Arabidopsis thaliana: one gene and its partner. The protein of the gene in region 1 interacts with the protein of each later gene in a pairwise test. Each region holds a gene or a part of one and is shown on either strand. Other genes may lie near its edges.

What was found.
Region 2: the proteins of SAP10 (region 1) and AT5G40710 interact in a two-hybrid assay, tested with the Arabidopsis thaliana proteins (one large-scale study listed by BioGRID).

Annotation. Positions count from the first base shown.
Region 1 is NC_003075.7:12,974,649-12,981,251, reverse strand, and holds SAP10 (stress-associated protein 10), read left to right. Parts: upstream 1-4,613; 5' UTR 4,614-4,923; coding exon 4,924-5,316; 3' UTR 5,317-5,404; downstream 5,405-6,603. Other genes in the region: AT4G25400 (basic helix-loop-helix (bHLH) DNA-binding superfamily protein), read right to left, coding at 1-26; AT4G25390 (Protein kinase superfamily protein), read right to left, coding at 1,806-3,761. UniProt on the Arabidopsis thaliana protein: May be involved in environmental stress response.
Region 2 is NC_003076.8:16,291,822-16,299,714, forward strand, and holds AT5G40710 (zinc finger (C2H2 type) family protein), read left to right. Parts: upstream 1-3,145; 5' UTR 3,146-3,269; coding exon 3,270-3,383; intron 3,384-3,542; coding exon 3,543-3,626; intron 3,627-3,709; coding exon 3,710-3,919; intron 3,920-4,023; coding exon 4,024-4,146; intron 4,147-4,339; coding exon 4,340-4,397; coding exon of another isoform or gene 4,398-4,525; exon of another isoform or gene 4,526-4,580; coding exon 4,581-4,654; intron 4,655-4,733; coding exon 4,734-4,819; intron 4,820-4,919; coding exon 4,920-4,989; 3' UTR 4,990-5,223; downstream 5,224-7,893. Other genes in the region: AT5G40700 (transcriptional regulator ATRX-like protein), read right to left, coding at 226-312, 405-456, 544-615, 690-1,318, 1,551-1,622; AT5G40720 (C3H4 type zinc finger protein (DUF23)), read left to right, coding at 6,242-6,371, 6,451-7,893.

The sequences.
Region 1 (6,603 bases):
CTTTTCTTCTCCTGAAAATTATTCATCTAGAAGTCGTTATACGTTAATTATTTTGAACAACGATTCTTCTTGTAATTATGATTATAATAATGATGATGATGATGAGACAGAAGGATCTGATCTTGTGCTCTGGGATTTGCTCTAGTCAGGGATTTGTTGTAAAGTTGAATAATATGGGAGTCGGAAAAAAAAAAGATATGGGAGTCGGAAAAAAGATAGTAAAAGGGTTTGGTTATAATATTAAAAACTAAGAGAAAAAAATACTAAGTTATTGGTAGACGTATCGGAAAAAGATGGAGAGAGAGGTTTGTTAGGGTAAGCAATGACGTCTTTCTGCTTCATCATTAATTTCTTCTCTTTTTAATAGGTTCCCTTCAACATTCCATATCTTAATATTTATCATTTTTAAAGTATTCTTTAGAGATCGTACAATTTATATGTTTATTTTCTTATTGTATACACATACTATATGATATATCAATTGTACGACGATCTACTATATATCCTAGATATCTCTGACATAGGTACCATATAATTATTTTTATATATACTATAGACTGCAAGGCCATATGCTGGATCGTATTCCTAAAAATCATTGAATAGCACTTTAAATTATGAGAAAATATGATTTATTTTATGTTATAAAATATATAGGAAATAATGTACTATAGTTTATAAGAATTAGTTACTGCTCTTTTTTTGTCAACTGGTATTGTATTAAGAGACGATTGTTTGATACAACACATACCCACCAAAGAGGTGAAAGAGCCAGACATATGAAAATGAAACAACATCCTCAACCTTTACTCAAGCCATACTACCATCAAAACTCAAATTTAATCAGAACACAAAGCCCTTTCCTCAGCAAATACACCATCGATCGAGCCAAGTAGGATGACTAACCGCCACATACGATTGTAACATGCACTCGTATAAGCAATGATATAAGTCATTGTTTCTAGTCGAAAGCAAATGATTTTTGTTGTTGTTATTATTTAAAATATTGAAAAACACTTAAAATGAAAAACAAACCAACATTCTATAACGCCTTGCATTTATTCATTAAAAACTGTTGCATTTTCAATTTGTTTTCTAAACATTACAACAACTTTTTGAAAAAATGCAGAATACTATGTTTTATGAAATGTTATAAGGGATTTCTTAATCCGAAAATAATTAAGTAGTAGTAAATATTTTAAACTGTTTATGTATGATTTTTTTTTTAATAATTGAGTTTCATCTGAATCTGATACATTTAAAAATAAAAAGCATGCATGTTCCAAATATCTAGTATTTTTAAAAAACTGGGCCAAATTATGGATAGACCATACTCTATATAAGGGCCAAATAATAATAAGAAGAAAAATTCAATAAATCTTGGTGATTTTAAGTAGAAACGAATAAGAAAAATCGAAGATGGCCCATGTCCATATATAAAGAACACAAACTGCTGACTCCTAACGTGACCCAATTTGGTATCTTCATTTCATTTAACTCGATTGGAAGTGGTTTGTTAACTGATTAGGCCCATAGGATTTGTGTGACCTTTAAATGACTTTTGGAGGTGGAAAAAGTTTTAGCCTTTTCTTTCTGCTAATAATCCAATCCCGAGCAACTCCGATTTGAAGAAGTGTTGTATGACATATTGACATCGAAGTATAAACGTGTAAAAAAAAAATCAATGTCAATAATGCGTGTGAAACTATAGAAAGAGAAATTGGAAAGTATAGTGAAATTGAATCAAAGTTCCTAAAACTAGCGGTGTAACACTTGAATAATAATAATCAAAATGATTCCTAAATTAGTCAACGGCGCTGCTTCCTCGTTGTCTTTAATGGTGGCGATGGTGAGAACTCACTAGGCAACTCTGGTAGATTCACTTCTCCTTTAAGCATTCCCAAGACCTCTTTCATTGACGGTCGTGAAATCGGTAATCTTTGCAGACACAACAAAGCCACCTTTATGCACAACACTGCTTGTTCTTGGTCTAAGTTTTGCAACTTTTGATCCACAAGATCAACAAGTTTTCCTCTTCTCGCCAACTTCCTCGCCCAAGACATGAGGTTTGCCCGTTGTATCTCACTCGCGGAGCCCGTCATCTCCAACGGGCGCCTCCCGGAAATCAGAACTAACAACAGAACACCGTAGCTATAGACATCACATTTCTCTGACACGTTGTTGTCCAAGTTACAGTACTCAGGAGCTGCATAGCACACAGTCCCTCTCATGCTCGGCGTGCTACTAATTCCGCAGCTCTTAGCTATCTCACCGCTCACCGAGTCATGGCTATTTCCCCTTGCTCTCAACCATCGTTCACCACTTAACCCATCTAACCACCAATCTATGCTGCTACCACTACCACTACCACGCCGCCATTGACTCACACTACTACTCCCATCATCACTACAAAACTCGGCTTCTAAAGTCATCTTCTTCTTCTTCTTCCTTTTCTTAGCGAGTTCTCTACGATACTCATCTTTCCACCACTCTCTAACCATCCTCCGCTTCTTCTTCTTCTTATTCTCATCCTCTTCCTCCAATGACAACCACCAATCTAGTCTCTTGCTAGTCTTCTTCTCAAGTTTCTTACTTGACGAAGAAGACAAAGCTGCCGCCTCAATCCAATCACTTCTGCTTGGTCTCTCCTTCTTTACCTCTGAACCAATCCATTGCATTACATACTCTTTCACTCTCCCTCTTTCAACATTGCTCTCCTGCTTCCACCACCAATCTTTGCTCTCACTCTCTTTCCCCTTCTTCATCACCACAACACTACCACCATCCTCATCCGTTTTCTCTCCCATTTCCGGAGAAACAGAGACAACCGTCGTCGCCTCAGGAGAAGCACTCACAGACCCAGGAACCTTAGCAACACTCTCCGGAGACTGATCAACCAACCCAAAGTTAAAATCTTCATAACCAGTCACAGTAGTTACCACACTCTCTACTTCTTCAACCATAGATCCATCACCATCACGCTCCGGAGCTACACTAATCTCCACTTGCTCTGCTTTCAACCTAGCCAAACCAAAATCAGCGATTTTGGCAGAGAAGAGACTATCTAATAGAACATTGCTAGGCTTAATATCACCATGAATCACAGGTGGTTCAAGACTATGAAGATGCTTAATCCCATCGGCAATGTTAACGGCAACCAAAAACCTCCGATTCCAATCCATAAGCTCAGGGCATCTCCGGTGAAGCAAGGCGTCTTGGAGATTACCATTGTCCATAAGCTTGTAAACAAGAAGCAAACGTCGTCGTTTTCGATCATGAGAGAAACCAATAACAGGGACAACGTGAGGCGAGTCAAGCTTGGCGGCGAAGAACAACTCGTTCTGAAACTCACCTTCTCCTTGAAGAGATCCTGAATCCATTACTTTAACAGCTACATTCTCGCCGCCGGAGATAGTTCCACGAAACACGACGCCAAATCCGCCCTGACCTAGTCTATTCGCCTGCGAGAAAGAACCGGTGGCGCGACGGAGAGACGAATATGAAAACTCACGTGGCGACGGTCTCCGAGGCGAAGAGGAAGCGTTTTCCGCCGGAGGTGATGAACGTTTCCGGCTGAATTTACAGAAACAGACGGAGAGAGTGATGAAAAGAGAGAAACCGGCGCCGGCTCCAGCCACCACGAACGGTGGAAAGATTCGCGTTGTCTTATTCTGATGTCCTGACGGCGCTGCTGGGACTAAAGAGGAAACGATCGGAGCCGGAGCAAGAACCGGAACCGGTGCCGAGATTGATCGTGACGGCATAGAGATTTAGTAAACCGAAGCTGAACCATACACAGAGGAGATTTTCAAAGACAAATTGTTGCTTTTTGTGTTTGTTTCAGTTTTTAGACTAAAATCGGAAAAGAGAGAAAACGTTTTGAGCTGTTGCGGAAATGGAAAATAAATTTCTATACATTTAATTGATCATTGATTAAATCATTACATCATGGTTTATAACGTGTTAAGGTTGCGAATTTTGATTGGTTAAACCGAATGAATACTAATCCAAAGTCCAAACACACAGACAAATCCAAAACCTGTTATTCTTTCTATATCAAACAAGAACCATAGAAAGAATAACTGACCAATATTTTATTTATTTATCGTTTTTTGAATGAGAAAACTCAAATTCAAATTCAGACGAAGCCAAAACATATACCCGGATAATGAAACCGGAACCGGGTTAGACCCACGTGAAGATTTAAATGCTAGACTGTTGTTGCGTGGCTTTTTGATAGACAATAAATAATTTAATTAGTAACGCGTTTAGGTGTAATTTGATAATGAAACTAAACAAGGTATTCCAAATTCACGTGCGGTGGTGGGGAGGCCATCAAAGATCACCATGTGGAATTGTCTAATTTGGTATTTTACTTGAAACTAATTAATTACTCCTTAAGATAGTGAAAACGGCACGCAACTCTTTTCTGTATTTAGAAAACGAACCGACGTTTTAGAAACTACCAGGAAGCTGCTGTTGTCTAAATTATCATCAAGTTGGATTAGTTATTTATTTGGTTTGTCTTTTTTTTCTTACATTAGTCAACGTTTTTCTTTATTGGATTTATGACTGTTCGAAGAGGATTAAACACGTCTTCTCAGTTTCCTTATTATGAAATATCTCTCAGCGTTTCTATTGTAACTTTTCCTTTCTTAGTTATATGAGGAAAGGAAAATCAATAACTTGCAATAAGAATCGTTAGCAAACACTTATCGAACGTAGATGACTATTACAAAAGAGGAAACACTTACCGAATTGTATTAAAAAAGGGAAACTTAATTGCACTACACAATTCCAGAAGAACTAAGAACAATAGACATCCTCTATATATTTAGATTTTAGAGTCATTGATAGAGCTCACACAAAATATTGAATTATATTGACTCTCATATAACAACTATCGCAAGAAGTAGAAGAAAGAAGATGGTGAACGAAACAGAAGCATTACCATGCGAGGGAGGCTGTGGACTCTACGGCACCCGAGTGAACAACAATCTATGCTCTCTCTGCTACAAAAAGAGTGTTCTTCAACACTCGCCCGCTTTAAGATTCGAACCCGAGACCGAGCAATCACAGTGTTGCCCTCCTACGAATAGTCCCGCCGTTGAAGAAGAACCGGTCAAAAAAAGGAGATGTGGGATATGTAAGAGGAAGGTAGGAATGTTGGGATTCAAGTGTAGATGTGGACACATGTTTTGCGGGTCACATCGTTATCCGGAGGAGCATTCTTGTCCCTTTGATTACAAACAATCTGGACGGCTCGCCTTGGCCACACAGTTGCCTTTGATCAGAGCTGACAAGTTGCAGAGGTTTTAGTGATATGTGTCGTAGATGTTTAGATTCCTTGGCTAAGATTTTGATGTTGTTAAATTCTTTGTACCAGTAATAATATAAGTTCTTTTAGCTAAACAAAACACCCTGAACTGAAGAGAGATTCAAAACAAGCAAGCCATCTTTCCATTTCAATGGTCAATTAAATTAACCAAAAATTCACAAGCTAGAAACAAAACTGAACTTTGTCAAAACTTTATTGTCACGACTCACTGATCAAACCCTAAACAAAACGTATCGGCTCTGTATCACACTGCAAAAACTTGTGAACATGAAATCCATAATATCACAACAAATCATTAAAACGCTTGTTTATACATATGCTTGGATTAACTACAAATTGGATTCGTGATTTCAAATGCGTTTTATGTATATTATAATCTTATGAGCTTAGACGAATAAGGTCATCGGTTTGTTTCCTGTCTACATAATAAGGTTATAGTTAGAAGAATGATGATCACTTGACCACTTAACTACATTTAGTGTGTAGTTTCTGTATCCAGCCTAATAATTCCGTTTAGTGTGTAGTTTTCAGTATTGAGCCTAAAATGTATGTTTAAGACTCAGCACAAACACTTGCTGACGTGTGGTTACTTACTAGCATTATTGCTAATACCATGTCAAAACTTTTCAGAGATCAACAGATAGATCCCCTATCGCATCAGCTTTCAGAGCGATAGGGGCTCTTATCCCGAATGCTTGTATTCGTGTCTAGAGAAGTTTGAGTTGATAGACTACGGTGGAAGAGAAGAAGAGAAGAATTAGTGGAATATATCCCAAGCATATCCAGGTGTTTAAAGACGGTGACAATCTATTTCAAAATCCACCTTACAACCTGAAATCAAGGAGATGATGATGGAGAAGCTTGAATCTATGGATAGGTTTTCTGAAGCATGTCAGCTTTTGTTTGAAACCGAGTATGGAAACAACTAGACGTTGCAGTTGACTGACGAATGACTTTTTAACCCTTGAAAGAAATTACAGTTTCCATCTTCTGCAAGTTTTTTTTATCTCGTCTGTTTCATTCCTTCAGATAACAATCAATCTTTAGCGTAAAGAAAATACCTACCCAGCATCCATATGAAGACACCAAGGTGTCAATAATCAACAGAGGACGTGAGTTTTAGTAACAAAAACCTATCGGAGAACCAAAGCACTGAATCATTTGCCAGAGTTGTATATTGTGATAATGCGGAAAAGCTAAATGACACTAACCACAAACAAGTATGGAAAGTGAATACTAATGAAAGTGGGGTCTTTGGCCGAGTCTTT
Region 2 (7,893 bases), on another chromosome or scaffold:
GGTTTTTCATTGAAGATGAAGAAGATACATACATACAACAAAAAGGTTCACAAAGATACAATACCAGAAAAAAGAAACAAACGTTCTTCTGATATTCACTTTTTTCTTGCTACTGTGCACTCAAAGATTCTCTTTTTTAGTTTTTTACCACTCTTGAATCCTAGGACAGATCAATCTTTCTACTTGCAAGTGTTTTCAGAGATTCCTCTTCTGTGTTTTGGTGTTCTACCTTTGTCTTCCTGCTTCTGTTTCCCCAGCCATCTCGGGTTTGAAGCAAAGACATAGAAATGGTTTCTTACTCGTCTTTCTCTGCTGAATAAACACAGCTAGTGTCAGTATTCATATTACTAATGGAAATGAGAAAAGGCTTCTTCTCATGATTTTGTTAAAAGTCGAAATCTTACCTTCTTTATAGTCAGCTTTTGATCTTGAGTTTTAGTGTTTCCCATCAAACAGCTACATCACAACAACAGTATACAATTAGGATAGGAACATCAACTCAAATACACATTGACTCAAGAAGAGATAACAAATCAGTCTTACCTCAAGAAACCGAATCTAGGACGAACTGGTTTTTCGCTTTTCGTCAACGAACTATGAGTTATCGGTTTTCCACTGCAAAATTACAACATAAAACAATCAGATGGAGGACAAATTCTAGACAAAACAATCAAAGCTGCTTTTGTTACCTTATTTTCAGTGAGAAAACAAGCTCCATTGCTTTGTCCGGAGTTTCAGAAGTTGCTGATTTCTCTATAGACAATCTAACCACCGATGAGTTCTTGGTTACGGATTTTCTCTCTTCTTCTTTCTCTCCAACGAAACAACTCTTCTTCACCAACTCTCCATCCTCAGAGTGATTATCTTTCTCTTTATCATCATGAATAACCTGCAAATCATCTTCTTGTTCCAAAACCGCAACATTTGTTCTTACTGGCTCATCATCTTTCTCAATACTCAACACCAACTCTTCACTACTACTCAAGACTAACTCAGTTTCATCACCCTCTTCTTCCTTAACCTCATCCTTAGTCAATGTCTCCAAAGTGTTAAGCAACACCGCAACACTTTCTGGTTCTTGTTTAGGGTCAGAATCAGATGATTGATCTGAAGCTTTTGCTTTCTTTGCTTCAGCTATTTTCTTGTAATGAGCTTCAAAGAAAGCTTTCTTCTGAGCAACAGATCCAGGCTGAGAGAACTTCTCAGCTTCATCGACATACTTCTTATGCGAAAAACTTGACCATTTCCCCCATTCAAGATTCTCTGTCATGAATCTACCAAATGAAACTGATTGACTAAGCGCATGCATCGTATTATCCTGCAACAATCCAACATATCAAAATCAGAATCTTACCAAAACTCAAAACCAAAGTTATAAACTTTCTGGTGAATCAAACTGTTTCCAATCAAACCCAATTCAGATACTTTGAGTAAAATCAACATCAAGATTCATATCTATCAAGCTAAACCCTAAAGTTTGAAACTTTACATTCAAAATCTCCCAGAAACCATCGAATTTTCCCAGGAATCATAGAGAGAATGAAACTAACCTCATGAGATTCATTACGAGAAGGAGGAGCTGCGAACGAATAGGAATGAAACAGAACAGCAGATTCAGCCATTGGCCACAAAACCTCAAAATCGAGAACTTCTTCGTTGGAATCTCAAAAGGAAATAAATAAAAATCGAAGCGTTTTAATGGGTTTTCTCACCGAAACGGCTATAAAAGAATTTTTTCGAATTTTAAAAACTTTTATTTGTCAGCCCTAAACACATGTTTTAGGAGACGATCTGAAGAACTTTGGTTGAGATCTGGGTCCCACGAAACAGATAAAACTCAGAATATCTTTTTAAATAAAGAAGATACTCAATTTTGAGTTTTTATTTGAAAATTTGATAGGAATTTGAGAAACTGAGAATAAATTATGTATCAAAGAAGTCTAACAAGAATGAATGATTCTGCTATAGTTGTTGATATGAAGTGGCTGAGAATTGCAACAAGAGAGAAAACGAATTTTTTCTGGTGATGAAATATTAAAATGTGAAATGCTTTTTGGGAAAAAAAACTCTGTAATTTAAACTGAATTCTGAGTAATTTTTTTTTTTAATTTTTAGATATATCAACGCGTTTAAAAACTATTTTAGTTGTTTTAACTAAAAAAAATGAATCTGATTTTCTATTAAAAAAAACTTTATATTAGTACTTATATGCTTACATTTGATTTTTTTTGGTTAAAAAAATGAATCTGATTTAGGGTGTGAATATTAGAGTCATTAGAAAGACTAAAGAAATAAAATTGTAGATAAGTTTGGAGAAAAGTAGCCAAAAAAGAAAGAAGAAGAAATAAATACGATTTATTAGGGAAAACTAATTAGTAAGTGATTAGCGTTGGTTTATGTAACGGTAGGTGTACTTTTGTAACTCCAAATAAAACAGCTTTGAGTTACAAAAGTGATGTTGTTAGAATGAATACATTACACTTCAACCCATCACAAAAGCAACTACTTTTCTTCCTTTGCATCCAACAATTATTTAATCATATAGCTGAAAATATTGATTGCTTCTCTCCCATAAAAATAAACAAAAATGTATATTAACTCTTTTAGCGTTTTACTTTAAAACTTTTTTTGGTCAAACAAAAGATTTTATCATCGCTTTTATATCTCATAAACAAAATGTATTAGATTATTTGTCATCGTTGAAACTTTAATTCTTTCTCCTTCTTTAGAGATTAACCAAAACCAAGTTGAAGTTTTGGTTCGTTTTTTTTAATTCATATTTCTAAATTTCAAAGATTTTATTCATTATAGAATTAAAAAAAAAATTGACAAAGTAATAGTGAAAATTTCAGAGTAAAGCCTTAAATAATTATTTAAAAATCCAACATTTGGTGGCCTTTCAAAATATTTAGAAGTTTTGGAAAAGGGTATAGTCCATTATTCAAAAAAAGATTAAAAAATCAATTGAAGAGAAAATAGTTTAAAGCATTTAAAGGTTTGAATGAATTCTAACCAAATGTGTACAAAAAAAATTCATTATTGTATCTTCATATTTTTTAGTGAAATTAAATAACATTGGATTTTTTCCTTGAATACAAAAAACATCCAAATCCATTAAAGACTAATATTCAATAACACCACCTATAAATTCTTATGTTTTGAAAATAACCCCAAACTATTTTTCTTTCTTAACCCTTAAAGTTTCATTTTTCATATATTACACCAAAATTTGAAATCATCTTCTTTGATTGTTTTTGGTGTGAGCGAAGATGGGAAGATCGAATTCTCAATGCCCATCTCATTGGATTCTCCTCTGCTTCTTCATCTCTTCTCAGTTTTGGGGATTCTCACTTCCCACTTCGATAATTCAACAAAATCTCGAGGTGAAATTTTTAGGGTTTTTCAGCAATTTCAACTGTAAATTTCGTGTAGAAGAATGTCTGTATCACTTTAGGGTTTGTAATCGATTTGGCTTACTTGGGATTTACTTAGAATTCTAGATTTTGTTCAAATTTTGAAGCTTTGTGGTTGTTGTTCTACAGGGTTTTAAAGATCCTGAAGACGGTTTTCATGAGATTCATTGTTCAAGAGAACGTAGCAGAGTTGCTTGGAAAATCATTCAAGAGGTATGAATTGAAAGCAGTGGTTTTTATTATTTTTTATGCAAATCTGTAGAGTTTTCTCATTGATCTTTGTTGTTGCTGTGAAGTATCTCATGCCGTATGTGGAAAAGGAGCGGTATCAGTTACCGAGTACTTGTAGAGTTCATCGAGACAATGACATTTATAGAGAACAAGAAGAGCACAAATTGCGTTCAGATATTAATGAGTGGCGTTGTGGATTCTGCAAAAAGGCTTTTTATGAAGAGAAGTATCTCGATAAGCATTTCGATTCGCGCCATTACAATTTACTTAATGCGGTATATACTGATGCATTATTGTTAAAATGATCCATCTTTCTGTGACAATTCATACTGTTTTGGGGTCTATTAGCGATTCATAACTTATGTGCTTTTGAATCCAGAGTCATGGTAAATGTCTGTCGGATCTTTGTGGAGCGTTGCATTGTGATCTTGTTGTAGACACAGCTCGGCTTAAGTCCAAGTGTAATCCTGCAGCTGCTGCAAAAAACCGGCACTTATGTGAGGTACATATTTTTTTAGTTTTGATTCGGTCAATATCATATGACAAGTTTGGACTCTAATACTCAAAGAAACCTTGTAGCTTCTGAGAATTGCAAAGAACATTTCACTGAAAGATTTGAACACTTCTGAACATATTGTCTTCGTTCTGTTTCTTGTGTTCCCGTGCTTATCTGCTCTGGTGTGGTTGCATTGCAGAGTTTGGCTAATAGTTGTTTTCCGGTAAATAAAGGTTCATCAGCCAACCGTCTTCACGGTATTAGAACCTTCCTGAATTTTACTATCTTATTTCAACAGTTTTTGCTTGTATTGATCCATAAAGATTCACCACTACTTTTGGGGTTTAAACTTTACAATTGTAGACTTCTTCGTGGGGGGTTTTAATGATCCATAGAGATTCACCACCCTTTTTTGGGGGTTTTAACTTTTAAAACTGCAGATTTCTTCTTGCGTCAGTTCTGCGATGCACATACATGTTCAGGAGGATCAAAGCCCTTATCTCAAAAACCAAAGGTAACATAATAAACCCTTTTTTTGTAAATGATATTATATCATATCATATCTCATTTAATCTCAGTCATATGTTTTGCAGAAGAGGAGTATAGTGTACATTATTTTCTCCATCATCGTTTTGGTAGTGCTTCTTCTCTATTACAGCTTTGTCTATTTGTTCCGAAGGTAACAACAACATTAAAATACTGTTTCAGATTTCCTTACAACTCTAAAACCGAAAAAGGCCCTCATGAACTCATTGTTCTTACGTTTTACTAATCTGTAGAGGATTAAAGAGAAGATCTCAAGATTTGAAGCGTATTAGACACAATGGTCTGAAGAAGAAACCCTTCTAACCATATCAAGCTTTAGCTTTAATGGCGGCTGAGAGAGAGTACATTTTTTTTCTTTGCAAGATGATTACAATTAGGATCAGATTAGTGCATTTTGCAACATCCCTTACAATTATATCACTACTTACACCAATATTGTTACTTAGAATTCAATAGTGTTTACTGCAACTAGAGCGGTACAATCGCATTTAACATTTCTAAAACATTTCAAAGGTTCAACTTAATTTCATTTTTCATATTTGTTAGTATCATTCTTAATTATTTGGTTTAGACTTTTGAGTCTTGATCAACCATGATTATCTCGATCATTTTATCAATTGGGCCGTTTGATGAAAGGCCTTTTGGGCCAAATTACAAAACAGATATCTTTGGAAGAACCAAAACGACAACGTGGGATAGACGTTAGAGATGACGTGAAGAAAAAAAAGGAGATAAGTGGAACCTACTTTTTCCCAGTATAAGTCCAATATCACTCAAAGTCAGGACACTAATCGAATCATAGCCTCGTCTCTTTCAATCTCAACTTCAACGATAAACAAAAAAACAAAGTGGATAAATTCAAAGCACTTAAAATAGGTAAATAAATAATGACGTGAAATATAACAAGCAAGGTATCCTAACTTTTCTTTTGCTTTTTTTCTTCTTTTGGGCAAATCTCATACATGTTCCTGCATATTTTAAACACTCTTCGAATGTTTTATCGAAAAATTAAAAACATTCTTAATTAGGATGAAAATTACTACGACAGATCACACTATACGGTACTATAACGTGGATAATTACTACATAGTATTGTATTATTGAGCTTGTATAAGTATTTGTGACAATAATACCAAAGAGTTTTAGATATTTTATTGGTTTTTCTAAGGAAATACAGATAGATAAACCTGTCGAACCGGTTGATTTAGCACAATAAGCGGTCATGAAACGTCTTCTACATCAAAGTTCGTAAATTTCCATGAAACGTCTTTGAGCACCGAGGAAGAAAGTTTAAAATTCCTAAAGAAACACACAAATTAAAAAAGGCAAAACCTAAACCCCATATTTATTTGTCTTTTTTTCTTTATCAGAGAATTTTAAAAAGGTAAAAATAGATTATATTCTATTCCTTCAGAAAATTTTTATCGTCCTAAAATCTTCGTAGCCTGCAACAAAGAAAGACTAAGAAAGAACTAAAATATTTTGCTTCGTCTAATTACTTTTTTCCTTTGGATTTAATTCTCAGCCATCGCCGCCGTTTTCGGCGGTGTAAAAAATGAAGAACCGTAGGAAACGCGGTGGTTTAAGCAGTGTCGACGTCGTTGTTTCATGGAGAAGATTTTTCCGATTTGTTTCTTTGTTCGTCTTCTCCTTCGTTCTCTTCTCTGCTTTCTTCATCTTCTTAGGTATTAATCCAACAATTAATCACAACCGTTTTAATTTATTTATTATTACTTAATACTAATTAATATTTGTATAAATCAGGCAAAATTCGACCGGTGGTGCGGTCTTCGGTCAACGCAGTTCTTCGTGGTTCTGTACCGGTGGTTAAGGTGATCACGATCCATGAAGCAGTTGAGTTTCCCGACCAAACATTGATTTTCCTAAAATACCCTCCATCTTCTCGGTTTTTTACGAAAGAGGACCTCTTTTGCGTTTTCTCCGACGTAAACGATTCGTCTAAACTTTTTAAAGAGCTTCCTTTCGCGGTGGAAACCGACGACTATGGCCGTCAGATCGTACGGTGTTCCGCCGTGCCTCGTGGCAATACTGTATCCCTCGCCGTTTCGAGATGGAGGGTTGATGATTATAATCTCCAAGTAGGGCTCACACACCGATGGGATTGGCTGGTGTACGACGCCGTGATCGACGACGACAATTCCACGGTGGTTTTTGTCAAGGGGCTTAATCTACGGCCAGGAAAGGTTGCTGACGCGTCGAGATATGAGTGTGTATACGGTTGGGATTTCACAAAGCCCAAACTTTTGCTTAGAGCACAAGCTATCTCTGCGGCCCAAGAGATCGTACGTTGTAAAACGCCACTGACAGTATTAGACGGCCCAAGAAGGGCCCAATCTCAACCGGTGAAAGTTTCTGTGAGGATCAAAGGAAGTGGGATGCTTCCTTCTGTAGCTCATCCAATTAAACGTCCGGGTCGGATCAAAGTCTCGAAAACGTTTGAAACGTGTGTTTGCACCATGACGCGAAACGCAGCAAACGTTTTACGAGAATGGGTGATGTATCACGCCGGAATCGGCGTTCAACGGTGGTTCATCTACGACAACAACAGCGACGACGACATTGTTTCCGAGATCAAGAATCTAGAAAATCGCGGTTACAACATCTCGAGACATTTTTGGCCGTGGATCAAAACTCAGGAAGCAGGATTCGCAAATTGCGCGATTCGAGCAAAGAGCGATTGCGATTGGGTCGCGTTTATCGACGTCGACGAGTTCTTCTACATCCCCTCTGGTCAAACTCTAACCAACGTAATCAGAAATCACACGACAACACCATCATCGTCCGGCGAGATCGGTGAAATTCGAACGCCGTGTCACAGTTTTGGACCGTCGGGACTTAGAGATCCACCGCGCAGCGGAGTCACAGCGGCGTACACATGTCGTATGGCGTTACCGGAGAGACATAAAAGCATAATTAGACCGGAATCGCTAAACGCAACGCTAATAAACGTCGTTCATCATTTTCACTTAAAAGAAGAATTCGCGTTTGTTGACGTGGATAAGAGTACGATGGTAATTAACCATTATAAATATCAGGTTTGGGATATTTTTAAGGAGAAGTTTAAAAGGAGAGTAGCGACTTATGTGGCGGATTGGCAAAACGAAGAGAATGTCGGGTCGAAAGATCGGGCACCTGGTTTAGGGACCCGACCCGTTGAACCAACTGATTGGGCTGAGAGATTCTGTG